2 linked regions of the Mytilus edulis genome follow. The protein of the gene in region 1 purifies or fractionates together with the protein of each later gene. This does not show direct contact. Links are inferred from orthologs where the notes say so. Each region holds a gene or a part of one and is shown on either strand. Other genes may lie near its edges. The genes, in order: tyrosine-protein kinase CSK-like and leupaxin-like.

What was found.
Region 2: the proteins of tyrosine-protein kinase CSK-like (region 1) and leupaxin-like purify together in Homo sapiens (affinity purification with mass spectrometry; 4 studies listed by BioGRID and IntAct, with this or other methods). This does not show direct contact. The link is inferred for Mytilus edulis from reciprocal best matches to the Homo sapiens genes CSK and PXN.

Annotation. Positions count from the first base shown.
Region 1 is NC_092347.1:54,622,546-54,630,293, forward strand, and holds the start of tyrosine-protein kinase CSK-like, read right to left. Parts: upstream 3,351-7,748; 5' UTR 3,222-3,350; intron 2,881-3,221; exon of another isoform or gene 2,772-2,880; intron 1-2,771. UniProt on the Homo sapiens protein: Non-receptor tyrosine-protein kinase that plays an important role in the regulation of cell growth, differentiation, migration and immune response.
Region 2 is NC_092349.1:36,797,940-36,805,793, reverse strand, and holds the start of leupaxin-like, read right to left. Parts: upstream 3,012-7,854; 5' UTR 2,747-3,011; coding exon 2,710-2,746; intron 1-2,709. UniProt on the Homo sapiens protein: Cytoskeletal protein involved in actin-membrane attachment at sites of cell adhesion to the extracellular matrix (focal adhesion). Recruits other proteins such as TRIM15 to focal adhesion.

The sequences.
Region 1 (7,748 bases):
AGTTGGGCAGTTGCAAAATTAAGGTTTGATTTTCATGTCATATGTGATAAGGTTAGTCAGTTTCTTCCCGCAGGTTGCCGCCGTTTTCCTTCAAGTACGACGGTTTAATAGTATGCCAACAAAACTGACTGCCATGAAATTACATACGGTGTAGAAAGTGATGTTTATAAAACCAAAGCAAACAATAAAAGTTTTAAATCTTTGTCCATTTGTACAAGGAGCCGTAGTGGTTGAGCCATTTAACTTATGGTAATTTTACCAAACTGTGACCACAAGATGTGACATCAGGCCTCTGTTCAATTGGCAGTCCCACAATAAAAGTTCAATTTTCACGTCATACATTGTACATTTTATATGGTTAATTTGTCAGTTTCCTGCCTCAGTTCTGTGTTTTTTTCTGGGTCCTTTGGTTAACTCTGCCAACAAAACTGACTGTCTTACATGAAATTATCCATATGATGTAGAATGTGACATTGACGGTTGACCCCGTTCAAAGAAACCACCAGCATGTACACACAACAATGCTGCAATGCTTTAGACAACATTGGTCTAGAGACTTCATGATTTACATGTATAAAGCTTTTAAATGTAAAAAAAAAAAAAATCCCTACTTACCTACCCACCTGCTGATAGTGTGGGTCGGCAATGCCAAACAAACAATTTTTTAAGGGTGGCCCTATTTAATCAGATTTCACTCTGACATCATGTTTATACATGTAATTCATCATCGTGTTGACATTTTTAGTATTTATTTAAAGTCAAAGAATTGAGTAGAATGGTTATTTCCAGAGTAATTAAAATGATATCCATTTAAATATGTTGCCTTCCACAGAAGATTATTTCATGTTTATGCTCAGTGCTATCTCTGGAGCTCAGTAACCCATGCCAAGAAGTTCTCAGTTTAGAGATAGAGAGAGACAGAGACAGAGAGAAAAAAAACATCAAGAAGTCATGGAGAAGTCTAAACCGTGTGGCAACCACTAAATCCCCAAAATTAAATACTGTACAAATAAATTCAGAAATTATTGTGATGTTTTTTATTATTGTGAAAAATGCGACAAGAAGTTTTATAATCGAAATAATTAAAACTTTTATGAATCAAACAGGATTTGTCTTCATATCGCAAAAATTCAAATCACCTTTTAGTCTTAAATGACAAAAATGCAATAATAAAATAAAATACATGTATTCAGTAGCAAATTCAAGACAAACCGAATTTGATAAAAATCCTGATAATTTGCATGGTCTAAAAAAGATGAATTCTTCAGATAACTATTATGATTTTACTTTTTAACTAATGAGGTAAAGTTGTTATCTTTATTTTTTAACATCAATATGCATTTGCTGTTGTAAAAATGAAAACGCTACAGATTTACTGATTATACCATTTTGAATGACCCATTTATTGATTTGCCTCATATAAGAAGTACACAGGAATCATCATACAAAGGTATTTGTAATGTGGTCAAGTTTTGAAATTGAATTTTTAAATAAAGCTTTAAATGTATGAAAAGTCCTAAAACAATGGAACAGTATTTTCTTTTTGTTTTTGATTTCTGATATTTCTTTTTACTAAACATGCTTAATTTGCAAATTATTACTTTTTTATTATCTATTTGCTGTTTTTTTCTATCAATGTGCATCTCAATCACAAACAGATTACCAGTAGACAACTTAGGCGGTCAAAATGGAATGCATAGTCGTATTAAAGTGATAGGACTATAAAGGCAACTACAAGTAAAATAGAATTTTCCTGACATAAGTTATTAAAGTAAAATAAATACAACCGAATAGAAGGAAATATTTTAAACGTACTTCTCAACTTTATTAGATGAGAATTAGTCAAAAAATCAATATTTTAATGTCAGAATTCAAAATTGTGAACTTTTTTTTCTTACAGTAGTTCTTGCATATTATCCCATCCCTGCTCTTTTAACAGGTGCTGTCATGTTGTACATTTGTAAGTGAAACAATTTCCCTCAAATTTATAATTTTATAATCCGTTTAACCAAAAAAGAATAATGACAACTATACAATGCAAATGCGATAAGACTTGGTCCTCTTTCACAAGATTAAACACCTGCCTCATACAATAATACACTTTTGAGCTTGTTGTATTTCTGTTATTAACTTTGGATGTACAAATGTATACGTAGGGGACATCATTCTTGCAGTGCATTGTCACTCCCTCTACATGTTGAGCGAGCAGTTGACAACAAATGATGCTACATGTATATAATATTGCACAAATTTATTGGTAATTGATAATCAGCACTGCTGTCATAAGGGAATTGTGATTAGTGCATGGTTCATGGTCAGCAGTGGTCCCCTCTATCTGGTAAAAAGATGTCATAAAGGCGTGTCTAATTGACAAACATTTGCAGAGAATGACTTAACTTGAAAGTGTTTTATCATATCTGCACTATAATTTTACAGAAATTTGTGTTATGCATAGCCATGGCATGGTTTGGAAAGTAAACAAAATTTGTCATTGACATTTGACAGAAAACTGCCATTTACATCAAAGAGTTACAAACATAAAGAGAGTATAGATCTTTAAATGTTTACGAGATTAGTCAGAATTACATAGATCATTTTAATTCACCTATTATTTACGGCAAAAGGGCGATCAAAAACAGTAGTCAGTACTTCAATGTTATACCGTAATGTCTGACCTACATCAATAATGTAGCAATATGGTAGCTTAATACTTTGATTTAAAAAATATTAAAAATCTACTTTATTTTCGTCAATGTGGGATTTATAATTACCTAATTGTAAAAGAAAAGCAATTTCTTCATTTTTTTATCAAACAGGAAGCAAAAAGTGGCTGCCATTTTTCTTTCAACAAAAATCGCCCTCTATGTTTAAAAGTTAGATAACTCTAATTTAAAAAAATGTTACCAAAACCATATTTGGCATATATAAAACAAATAATTCAGAAATGGATGTAGCTCCTTTTTGTAAACTGAATCCTCACACTTAATGTCGAAACTATTTTTTAAACCCAACATCAAGATAGACGTGTACTGAAAAAGTCAATTGTTTTCTTTTTTTTTGAAATTACAATGAAATCATGAGACATGAAACTCAAATTACACTACAGTATTAGTTGCAACTGTAACTAATATAAGTTTTGATCCCAGATCGCAGCTCAAGTCAGAGGTTAACAAATTGTCGCTTTTCTGTTTAAAAAATCTCTGATACCATCAAATACTTACCACTAAGACATATTTCCCGAAATGAATGAGGGAATTGACTTCCTTGTGGGAAATAAAACCGTCTGTCAAACAAGGAAGCATTTTTAAAATAGATTATTAAAGTCAAATCGCACAATATAACTGTTATCATAGACATTTAACTTCGCTAGACTTAAATACATCATCTGATATTTTGGATAAAAGTCGGAAAAGGCAACACTTTTATAATATCACGGAACAAAATGACGTTTTATAATTTAGTTTTTTTTATAATAATGATTTTATATGATTATACAATATTATACATGTATATACATTGCTTTAATTTCTCATCGACGACGTATGTAATGATTGGAATGGTGATTGTGGCATTTTTAAAGGCATGCAATATCAAAATATGATACAGGGAGGACAATATACTATAGCGAAAATTTCAAATGTTTTCACATAGCACTGATAAATTGTTTACAGTCGCACACAATTGTCTATCATCGGGTCCAATTGATCCGACTATCTTGTTAAAACAAATGTAAGTACGATATTTTATGATTAAAAAATACATATAGAACAACAAATATAATATATAGGTATACCCAATAGACAAAAGTGATGTAACATGCTTGTTTTAAATAGACAATATTTATTAGCACAAACACATTTACATTAAATGGTTATGGCATACAAAATTAAGACAATAAACTGACAATAGTTAAATTGATTATAATTATATTAGAGTGACAGCGAAGAAAAAAGACTATAAAGATCAACAGTTAACACATTATTAATGTTCATGAACAATTAGAAAAAAGAACACAAACAAAAATTAGGTTGCATATTAAAAGAAATACATGTTATACAAATGTTCTCAATAAAAAAAACAATCATTAATATACTTTATGGTGATTTTTTTAATGACTGGTAGACTGCTATTTAAAATTGCAGTCAAATGCTTCAGTGTTTTAGCGGACTGCAATTTATTTTAAATATCAATAATAAGATTAAAATTAAGATTTTTATTAATATTTTGTATATAGGTATCCCTCAATGATGTATAGCATAGACAGATTGAGAAGAAATGATATTCATCCTCAATTCTTTGTCTGTTACAGGATAAGCAAATGCGTTTACTTCTTTCAATGTTGGTATAACGCCCTCTTTCAATTGCTGGGGAATGGGCACTTAGTTTAAATTTACTGAAAACTGATCGGTCAGTTTTGAGTTTACATATATCAATAAATGTGGGCCTTTTTCTAATTCTTTTAGTATGACAAAAGAAATTTATTTTTTCACATTTATTGATAGAACAATTCATAATTTGATAAGCCTGGTCAAAGATTCTTTGTTGGATAGTATTTATGTGATATTTTAAATAACAGAGTTGAGTTATGTTTTTCAAGAAGAGGGGTGAAAAATACCAGAGGGACAGTCAAACTCATAGATCAAAAAAAAAAAAAACTGGCAACGCCATGGCTAAACTAGAGGCTCTAAAGAGCCTGTGTCGTTCACCTTGGTCAACAAAGGACTCAGATGGATTCATGACAAAATTGTGTTTTGGTGGTGGTGATGTGTTTTTTAGATCTTACTTTACTGAACATTCTTGCTGCTTACAATTATCTCTATCTATAATGAACTTTGCCCAGTAGTTTCAGTGGAAAATGTTAGTGAAAATCTACAAATTTTATGAAAATTGTAAAAAATTGACTATGAAGGGCAATAACTCCTTAGGGTCAATTGACTATTTTGGTCGTGTTGACTTATTTTTAGGTCTTACTTTGCTGTACGCTGTTTACAGTTTATCTCTATCTATTATAGAATTCAAGGTAATAACCAAAAAGAGCAAAATTATCTTACAATTACCAATTCAGGGGCAGCAACCTAACAATTGGTTAGCTGATTCATCTGAAAATTCCAGGGCAGATAGATCTTTACATGATAAACAATTTTACTTCCTGTCAGATTTGCTCTAAATGCTTTGCTTTTTGAGTTATAAGCCAAAAAACTGCATTTTACTCATATGTTTTATTTTTAGCCATGGCGGCCATCTTGGTTAAACTAGATACCCCAATGATGATTATGGCCAAGTTTGGTTTAATTCGGCCCAGTAGTTTCAGAGAAGATTTTTCTAAAAGATTACTACATGTATAAAGATTTACGAAAAATGATTAAAAATTGACTATAAAGGGCAATAACTCCTAAAGAGGTCAACTGACCATTTTGGTCATGTTGACTTATTCGTAAATCTTACTTTGCTGAACATTATTGCTGTTTACAGTTTATCTCTATCTATAATAATATTCAAGATAATAAGCAAAAACAGCAAAATTTCCTTAAAATTACAAATTCAGGGGCATCAACCTAACAATGGGTTGTCCAATTCATCTAAAAATTTCACGGCAGAGATCTTCACCTGATAAACAATTTTACCCCCATGTCATATTTGGTTTAAATGCTTTGGTTTTTGAGTTATAAGCCAAAAACTGTATTTTACCCCTATGTTCTATTTTTAGTCATGGCGGCCATCTTGGTTGGTTGGCCGAGTCACCGGACACATTTTTTAAACTAGATCCCAAATGATGATTGTGGCCAAGTTTGGTTAAATTTGGCGCAGTAGTTTTAGAGGAGAAGATTTTTATAAAAGTTAACGACGACGGACGACGGACGCCAAGTGATGAGAAAAAAGCCAATCAGACAAATGAAAGTACACAAGACACAACATAAAAAAACCTAAAGACTAAGCAACACGAACCCTTCCAAAAACTGGGGGTGATCTCAGGTGTATCGGAAGGATAAGCAGATTCTGCTCACATGTAGCACCCGTCGTGTTGCTCATGTTATTCCAACATCGGTAAATAGTAAAATTCGGTAGGTCACATTCGTGAAAAGGGAAGGCGATTATAGTAATGACATAAGGACTTTATGCGATATAACAGTGAAACTGTAATTTTATAACGGTCAACCAATTCGTGATGCAGTCCGTAAAATTTACGAAGGGATGATTTCAACGTTACCATTTGGAACTCAGGCTTGGTTTGATAGCATCCTTGTGAGCAGCAACCCTTTATCAAGGAAATCATGGTAGGAAATACAAGCCTGGGAACGTCGTATCAATTGGGAGATATATACTCCGTATGCAGGCGCTGTTGGAATGTTGCTACATAGAAATGGAAAGTTTACAATTGGGAAGCTGAAATCTTCTCTTTTGTCGTAAAATTTTGTTTTCAGCCGACCCTCATTGTCAATTTCTAATTGTCAGTTAAGATATGAGGCAGACTTAATTGTATCCGTTGTATCCTTTATCTCTAGTTGGATGGAATAGATGCGTTCAACATTGACACCAAATTTAGAATTATTTAGCGAGAGAACATGATCTATATAGCGGAAAGTAAAGTATCAAAGGATTGCTAACTTCTTATCTTTCTTCCTAAGAAGTTCCCGTATAAATGCCTGCCTCATATTTCTTTTTTTGGGTAAATAACACGAATAAAGTTCTTTTAAAACTGTTGTTTTATTTCAACATGGTTAGGAATTTTAAAAAGTGAATGTTTTATTTGTAAACTAAGTATCGTCTACAAAGTGTGTCGGAACATATTAGCCGGGAGACCGGATCGTATAGCTAGCGAAGATGATAATGTATCTTTCTATATATGAATAGGCAAAATCTATTTAAAACATGGCCAAAATTATCTTTAAAAACTCATTTACCAAATTATCTTTAAAAACTCTTTTACCAAATTATCTTTAAAAGCTCTTTAACCAAATTATCTTTAAAAACTCTTTCATCAACTTATCTTTAACTAGATGTGTCAAAGCGACACGAATGGCCCCGTCTCAAAAAGTTGAGAAAAATCTACAATTTCAATAATACATGTGGACACAACCATGATGGTAGTGTCACATATGAAAAATCAGCTCAAAATCTGGAGGCGTATAGAAAAATGTCCATATAACTGACTTTTCAACATTTTTCAAAGTTGTAAACCCTTAATTTTGGCAAAAATTAGTGGAGCGGAAAGAAACTTATACTTGATCTGTAACTCATCATGTTTACCAAAAATCAACCCAATATCTGAAAGCCTTTAGAAAAATGGTCCGTATAATTGTGATTTTCAAATATTTATCAAAGTTCAAAGCCCCGGCGAAATTACAGCAAAAATTAGCCGAGCGGAACGAAACCTATTGTTGATCTGTAACTCATCACGAGTAACTTACATACCAAAAATCAGCCCAATATCTGAAAGCGTTTAGAAAAAAGTCCGTATAATTGTGATTTTCAACAATTTATCAGCATATATAGACTTTTTAACATATATTTAGCCTACTCACAGTATTCTTTTTGTTACTTTCTAGAGGTGTGTCTGAGACGAAGGTTTTATATATATACTAATAAATGAAAACTGTTGTTTCTTATTTGTGTTTTTAACTATTCATACTGTAATGTTTATTATATTTGTAAAAGAATAACATTATTATTATATTATATTATGCTCCTTGTGAGCCCATTTTATGGACATAGTTGTTCATTTCCTACGGGTCCCCTTTCTGGAATTA
Region 2 (7,854 bases), on another chromosome or scaffold:
AATTAATATTTATTTTCTTGTTTCTTGTTTGTAATTACTTTGCTCATCAAAGTTGGAATGAATGTATTTTCTGCAGAATAATTGTACTTGTCCCGACGGACAAGCTTGATACAGCTTTTACTTGTCCGACCTTTTTTCCCTCTGGTACCGGACAATCGGACAAGCGTTATTCACTTATTGTCGAGGCCTGAATTTACACACTGCAACCCTGATGAAAATATTCATAAGGTGATACAAATAGCAACATCATATCCAAGGGTCCGGAAACGGTCATATTTGCCAGTCTTGTCCTAAACTTAAAGTTTAATGTCCTAAACTTTTAATTGGGATTTAGGTCAAATTTTATTTTTCAACAGTAATAATTTCGGTCATTTCGTTGAGATCAAGTTTCAAAATCGCCATTTTGAACATATTTTTGGTTTGTTATCGATTTCCTGTAATTAAACTGCCACTCCAGTAAAGTGTTATAATCCTCCTAATAACTATAGTAATGCCTCGGGCAGCTATTGGCTAATGATCGCTTATCTCTTTACCTGTGTTTTTAATTCACACCTGGTTATTAATCACAAGCTCCGAACAAATATTATAAAGTAATAAAAATTCCATACAAACTGGCTTCATTCTTTAATTACTTAACAGCTAAGACAATTGTCAATTATGATTTAAAATTAAATTAAAACTTGATTTATTTTACGTAGAAAAAAATATTTTTTCACTACTAACACACGTGCTTTGTTTACTATATAATACGCATGCTTGAAATTCTCTTCCGCAGATTTAACACTAAATCGTAAATTTAAAATAATTTCATGCTAAATAAAGCAAGTGCAACTATTTTCATTGATATTCTTCGTAAATATTAAAAAGCCGATGATTTCCTGTGAATTTGATAAACAAACCTAATCCCGAAAATGAGCCCGGAATTGTTCGTTTTAGTATTGTCGCATTACATCCGGTTTGAATTTCGACTTCAGAATCGAAAGAAACCTAAGCGATGACTGAGAAAATTATCGTTTTGAGTCATTAAAATCATTTTATTTTTAAACTGTTGCCTTCCCTTAATTGCTCTTGATCGATTTTAGGAAAATGGTAGGATAAATCATGAAGTAAATGCGATGCAACAGTTTGTTGAAGCTACGAGTATGAGCATACTCATCAGTGACATCACGAGTCTCTTGCAGTAATGTGATTTTGACAATCATTTTTTTAAAAGGGGCGCCAACTTTTAAGTTATATGAAAATGACCGAAATTAGGTGAAAAAATTTCCGGATCCTTGATCATATCTAGACCTATGAAGAACACTAACCCTAACCTACATGTATTAATTATGATTATCTTTCCAAACCTGTCAAAACTATATCATAGATGCCAACCCCATTCGACACAATCAGTAACAAACTATCAAATTTTCCGTATTTTTGAAAAGTTTTCAGTAATCATTCATAAACTTGCATTTACCAATAAAAATTACTGACGAGTGGTTGCAAAATGTTGTGCACTAAAATTTGCCATTCAACATGTTGTTTGTAGTATGTATTCCATTCATTTATTGTTCAGATGTTCTCGACTCGTACATTTTCGTTTTGTCAAGGAGAAGTCAATAAAGGGGGATAGCTTCTTCATAAAATGCAAGTTTGCCTCTTAGGAAGTCAGTTAGTTCCCAACAATAGGTTGATAACTCCCGAGAAACCGGAAGCATTACATTGGCGTTTTCTAAAAACCAGACCAGAACAGAAAAGTAATGATAAAAATCTGCGTTTTATAAAATTGAACGGCGATGATTTGGAATCCGTATACTATTCAACTTCGACCGTAATAGCGTACCGGTAGTTTTTATTGCAAAATCGGAAAAACTACGGAAAAATCGTAATGGTTGGCATCTATGCTATATACATGTATTTGTGTACATGTAGATCTAGATCTACGTATATAAAAAACATTAACATTATCTCATTTCTTGAAATGTGCCCACAAGCACTGGTTTCTGTCCATTAGGGTAGTAAAGCTCTTCACTGTCAGGCATCAAACGGTTATTTTAGACTACTGTTAGCATCAAATTATTCAATTTTTTCTGTGACTTGTCAAAATATCCTTTAACACCTTATCCCTGTTAATGGCTGACCCGAGAATCTGTGCAGTTTGAACTATTGACGTCATACAACAATCACTTTTCAATTGTGGCGTCAGATATTTTGTATTATGACATCAAAATTTTACGGGAGCCTGTGTCATGTCCAGTAATGGAGGACAATTGGCGATAAGGTGTACATGGTGTATTGTGATTCATCTCAAATAATTATCTTTAATGTTTATATCTTTGATAAAAAATGACTTCATTCCTCAAAATCAGTTGATTTTTTTTCGCCTGAACTCAAATACAGTGTACTTCTTATAGTCATGCACAAAAATTACTGTTAACTTATTTAGCACCGTTATTCGACATGAAAGTACGCCAATTTTGACTCCAATTGATAAATCCGGCATGGGAAGGGTTGACTATCAATATATATATGGATAATAGACCTGCAAAAGGAGAGAAACAAGTGCCTATGAATGTGCCCATCCTATTTGCATGATTAGTTGTATAGAACTTTATGAACTTCTATCATTATCTCTGTTCATGATGTTGCTATGCATTACCAATCTAAATAGTCAAAGTAAAGTTACACACAAATAAAATTAACCAGTTATACATCTGCTTGTCTTACCTAAATCATCCATTACTCTCTGATTGTAGCTTTGCATCAACTACAAACTTTTCGGTGGAAAGACTTGAGAGTGACACTTGTGGTACTTCCGGTTTTATAAAGTGGTCACAAATTTCTTTAAAGATTGGAAAAAATGTGAAGTAAAGATATTTTGATTCATTAGAGTCAATTTGGAAGGGAAGCACTATCTACATTTCTAATTGTTTCGTCAAAATAAGTTTTTCTTAGAGAATCCTTCGATTTTCCTCCTTGATGAAATCCCCACTTCCGGTTTACCTGACTAGAACAGGTAAACACTAACCGATCCTACACCAAACTGTAGAAGATTAGAATATAAATATTTGGAAATATAGAAGAGTGTAGATCGAAGAATGTGCAACTTTAATTCTTCCAACCACAATGTCTTCTGGTAAAAATTACTGTTTCGTTTTGATTCGGATGAATCATCGAAAGTTCTATTTTGAAGTGTCAGATTTCAATATAATTTGACAGATTTAAGTGCTGAAACAAACGAAATAAGATCTTTAAAGTAACGTTTTCAACTCAGAATCTATAAGCAGGTAATACGATTCCTAAGTACTGAGTTTTGAACCACAAACATACGAGAGATGTATAGAAAAAAACACACTGTTTATAACGAGAGAAAATCTTAAAGAGGGGGGTGTATGAGAAAACCAGGATGGTAATTACGAGGCATTTATTTTTTTGAAGACTTCCTTTTTGGTCTCACCTTTCTGTATACCTTTATCTTCATTAGAAGAGATAAAAAAATAAAGTTAGTGTTGGTAGTGCTGATTCTCCCAATATTTATAGTGATTATAATTAGTGGGTCTTCTGCTCAGTTATATATATATATGTGAATCTGATGTGGGTGGGGAGGTACTTCATATCCCACTATCTGTACAGTATTCTTCAATTTTTAGGTTGTTTCTATAATTATGTTATTTATCTTTTTTGTCTGTCATTCTATAGTCTTTATATTTTTACATCCCAATATTTAGAATTTTTCATTTAAACTCGCCTAACACTTTAGTCCATAAAATATATAATAATGTAGAGAAAACAAGTAAATGGGTTAACATTGTAAAAGACTGGTTAAATAAATTAGGTTTTGGTCATCTCACTTTTAATACTTTTAATTTAAAATATCACATAAATAGTATCCAACAAAGAATCTATGACCAGGCTTATCAAAATATGAATTGTTCTATCAATAAATGTGAAAAATTAAATTTCTTTTGTCATACTAAAAGAATTAGAAAAAGGCCCCCATATATTGATATATGTAAATTCAAAACCGACCGATCAGTTTTCAGTAAATTTAAACTTAAGTGCGCATTCCCTTAGCAATTGAAAGAGGGCGTTATACCAACATTGAAAGAAGTAAACGCATTTGCTTATCCTGTAACAGACAAGAAATTGAGGATGAATACCATTTCTTCTCAATCTGTCCATGCTATAAATCATTAAGGGATACCTATATACAAAATATTAATAAAAATCTTAATTTCAATTTTATTAAATTGCAGTCCACTATAACACTAAATCATTTGACTGTACTTTTAAATAGCAGTCTACAATTAAGTCATTATAAAAATCACCATAAAGTATATCAATGATTGTCTTTTATTAAGAACATCTGTATAACTTATTTTAATATGCAACCTAATTTTTGTTTGTGTTCTTTTTTTTAATTGTTCATGAACATTAACAATGTGTTAACTGTTGATATTTCGTTATAGCCTTTTTCTTCTTCGCTGTGAATACTACTGTCACTCTAATATAATTATAATCAATTTTACTATTGTCAGTTTATTGTCTTAATTTTGTATGCCATAACCATTTAATGTAAATGTGTTTGTGCGAATAAAATATTGTCTATTGTCTGTTTATAATTTTGTTCCATTTTTAGATCACCGTTCCAAAGGAACTTGAAGTCAGTCGTCATCAGTCTGGTGTAAACTATTCCAAACATCATCTCTTCTGAAACTACTGAACCAATTCCTACCAAACTCAAGCTGAATGATCCCTAGGGTATCAAGAATAATTAAAGTACAATGTAGGTCTATGTCAATGTAAATGTATATATATGTTTTATTTTCTGTTTCATCAAAAAACATGGCTGCAATGGCCATATGATAGCTAAAAATAGAACATAGGGTTAAAATACTGCTTTTGGCTTATATATATCTGAAAAACAAATGCATTTAGAGCAAATCTTGCATTGGGTCAATTTGTGCATGAAGCTAAGTTCTATCAGCCATGAAATTTTCAAAAAGTAAAATCACTAAAATACTGAACCATTGTTGGGTTGCTGCCACTAAATTGGTAATTTTAAGGAAATTTTGCAGTTTTGGGTCGTTATCTTGAATATTTTTAATGATAAAGATAAACTGTAAACAGCAAAAATGTTCAGCAAAGTAAGCTTTACAAATAAGTAAAAATTGTCAATGAAACCCTTTTTTTAAAAAAAAAAAAATTATTTGATTGCACCTTTAAGGACAATTTTACACATTTCGTTTATCATGTTTTCTAACTTTGAAAAATCTTCTCCTCTGAAACTACAAAACCAATTACAACCAAACTTAAGCTAAATGATATCTAGAATAAAGTTTGTGTTTTATTTTGTCAAAAACATGGCCACCATCATGGTGCTGTGGTTAAAAAATATAACATCGGGGTAAATTGCAGTTATCTCCCCATAATGATAAAATGTTCGGAAAATTGACCAGAGTTATCTTACATTAATCACAGAGAGACATATTTAAAAGAGTTATGCTCCATGGAAACATCAATTACATGAAAAATTGCATTGTTGCTCTAATTTGTACAATTCTTACCAGATTTTTGTGAAACTTATATCATAAATAAATATTACATGTAGCAATGATTTGGACAACTTTGAAAATCATGGTGCTGATCAATAATTTTTAAAAGAGTATAATGCCCCACAAAAACATTGATTATATAGAAAATTGCATTGCTAGCATTCCCATGCCTGTTTGAGTGTTTCATTCTTTTCAAATTTTTATGAAACTTTATATTATCATAGGTTTATATCAGCAATGTCTAAAGTTGAAAAGTTGGAAAATAAGTATGGATCAATTATTTTTAAAAGAGTCATGCAGGCCCCTTCAAAATAATGATTACATGTATATGGAAAATTGCATTGTCAGAGTTCTCATGTGTACAAATACTGCCAGAATTTTATGAAACTAACATCATTGGTTTATATCAGCAAAGTCTTTGACACTTTTGAAATTAAAGTCTGATCAAATATTTTGCCCCTTGAAAATTAATTATAACTGAAATCATTTGCTCTGAAGCCTTCAACTCTTTAAAAGTTATTAATTAAAATTCATTGCCCTTATTCCCTGGATAGATAAACTATTTGTAAAGCATGGGGCATTGGAACTGTTTTTTTTTTATTGTATTTTGAAAATAAGGAAATCCATAGTTATGTAATTAGTTATCAAAGGTACCAGGATTATAATTTAGTACGCCACACGCGCGTTTCGTCTACATAAGACTCATCAGTGACACTCATATCAAAATATTTATAAAGCCAAACAAGTACAAAGTTGAAGAGCATTGAGGATCCAAAATTCCAAAAAGTTGTGCCAAATACGGCTAAGGTAATCTATGCCTGGAATAAGAAAATCCTTAGTTTTTCAAAAATTTCAAAGTTTGGTAAACAGAAAATTTATAAAAATGACCACATTATTGATATTCATGTCAACACCTAAGTGTTGACTACTGGGCTGGTGATACCCTCGAGGACGAAACGTCCACCAGCAGTGGCATCGACCCAGTGGTGTAAATAGTTATCAAAGGTACCAGGATTATATGAGGCCTTATGCAACCTGTACATAAACAGAGAGAAATTCCACATTATATTCATGATACTTTTAGCTATATATATATAGGTAATCATATATAATTACAAATTTGATTTCAAATCATACCTGAAAAAAAGCCATCGATCCATCATCATCAACTCATTTCTGTTTTGGGCAAAAATTTAAATACCTTGAAACTAAAAGTTCATCATGAAGAACTTATTACTATGCTACATTATGCATAATACAGATAGAAGAGTTATGCAACACAATGGAGTAAGATATGTGTAAAAGAGGGTTATAGACTATGGAGGAATTTCTTAATAATAAAAATAAAGTGTGTAAAGGGAGGCTATTCTAGGAATTTTTTTTAGAAAAAATAGATTTATTTCCCTGTTTTTATATGACCGCAAAAATTGAAAATTTTTTGGTATCACATTGGCGTCGTGTCATTATCATCGTCGTCTGAAGACATTTGGTTTACCCACCCTAACTTTAGTAAAAGTAAATAGTAAATATGAAATTTAAACACAAGGTTTATGACCATAAAAGGAAGGTTGGGATTGATTTTGGGTGTTTTGGTCCCAACAGTTAAGGAATTAGGGGCCAAAAAGGGCCCAAAGAAGCATTTTTCTTGGTTTTCACACAATAACTTGAGTATAAGTAAACAGAAATCTATGAAATTTTAACATAAGGTCTATGACCACAAAAGGAAGGTTGGGATTGATTTTGGGAGTTTTAGTCTCAACAGTTTAGGAATTAGGGGCCAAAAGATTTTGGATATTTGACCATAATAGGTAAATGTCCAATTTAAAAATTTTAAGTTTAAGTTCTCAGACAACATTCATTCTGTGTCAGAAACCTATGTTGTGTCAACTATTTAATCACAGTCCAAATTCAGAGCTGTATCAAGCTAAAATATTGTGCCCATACTTGCCCCAACTGTTCAGGGTTTGACCTCTGCGGTCGTTTAAAGCTGTGCCCTGCAGGGCATCTGGTTATACCAGATATTGAGTTTGAGACAATAGTCAGAAACCAAAATAGTAACTATTTGTTTTTTCTGTACATTATCAGATTTGTATATGACTGCCAAAAAAATTTGGGATCGTACAATGGTATGATGTCATCTGTGTCGTCGTCAGAAGACACATTTGGTTTCCGTGAATGTATCTCATTGAAATTGAATGAGAAGGTTCAATACCACAAAAGGAAGGTTGGGATTGATTTTGGGGATGAAGGTCAAACCATTTGGGAATAAGGGGCCCAAAAGGGGCCCAAAACAAGCATTTTTATACTTTCAGGATAA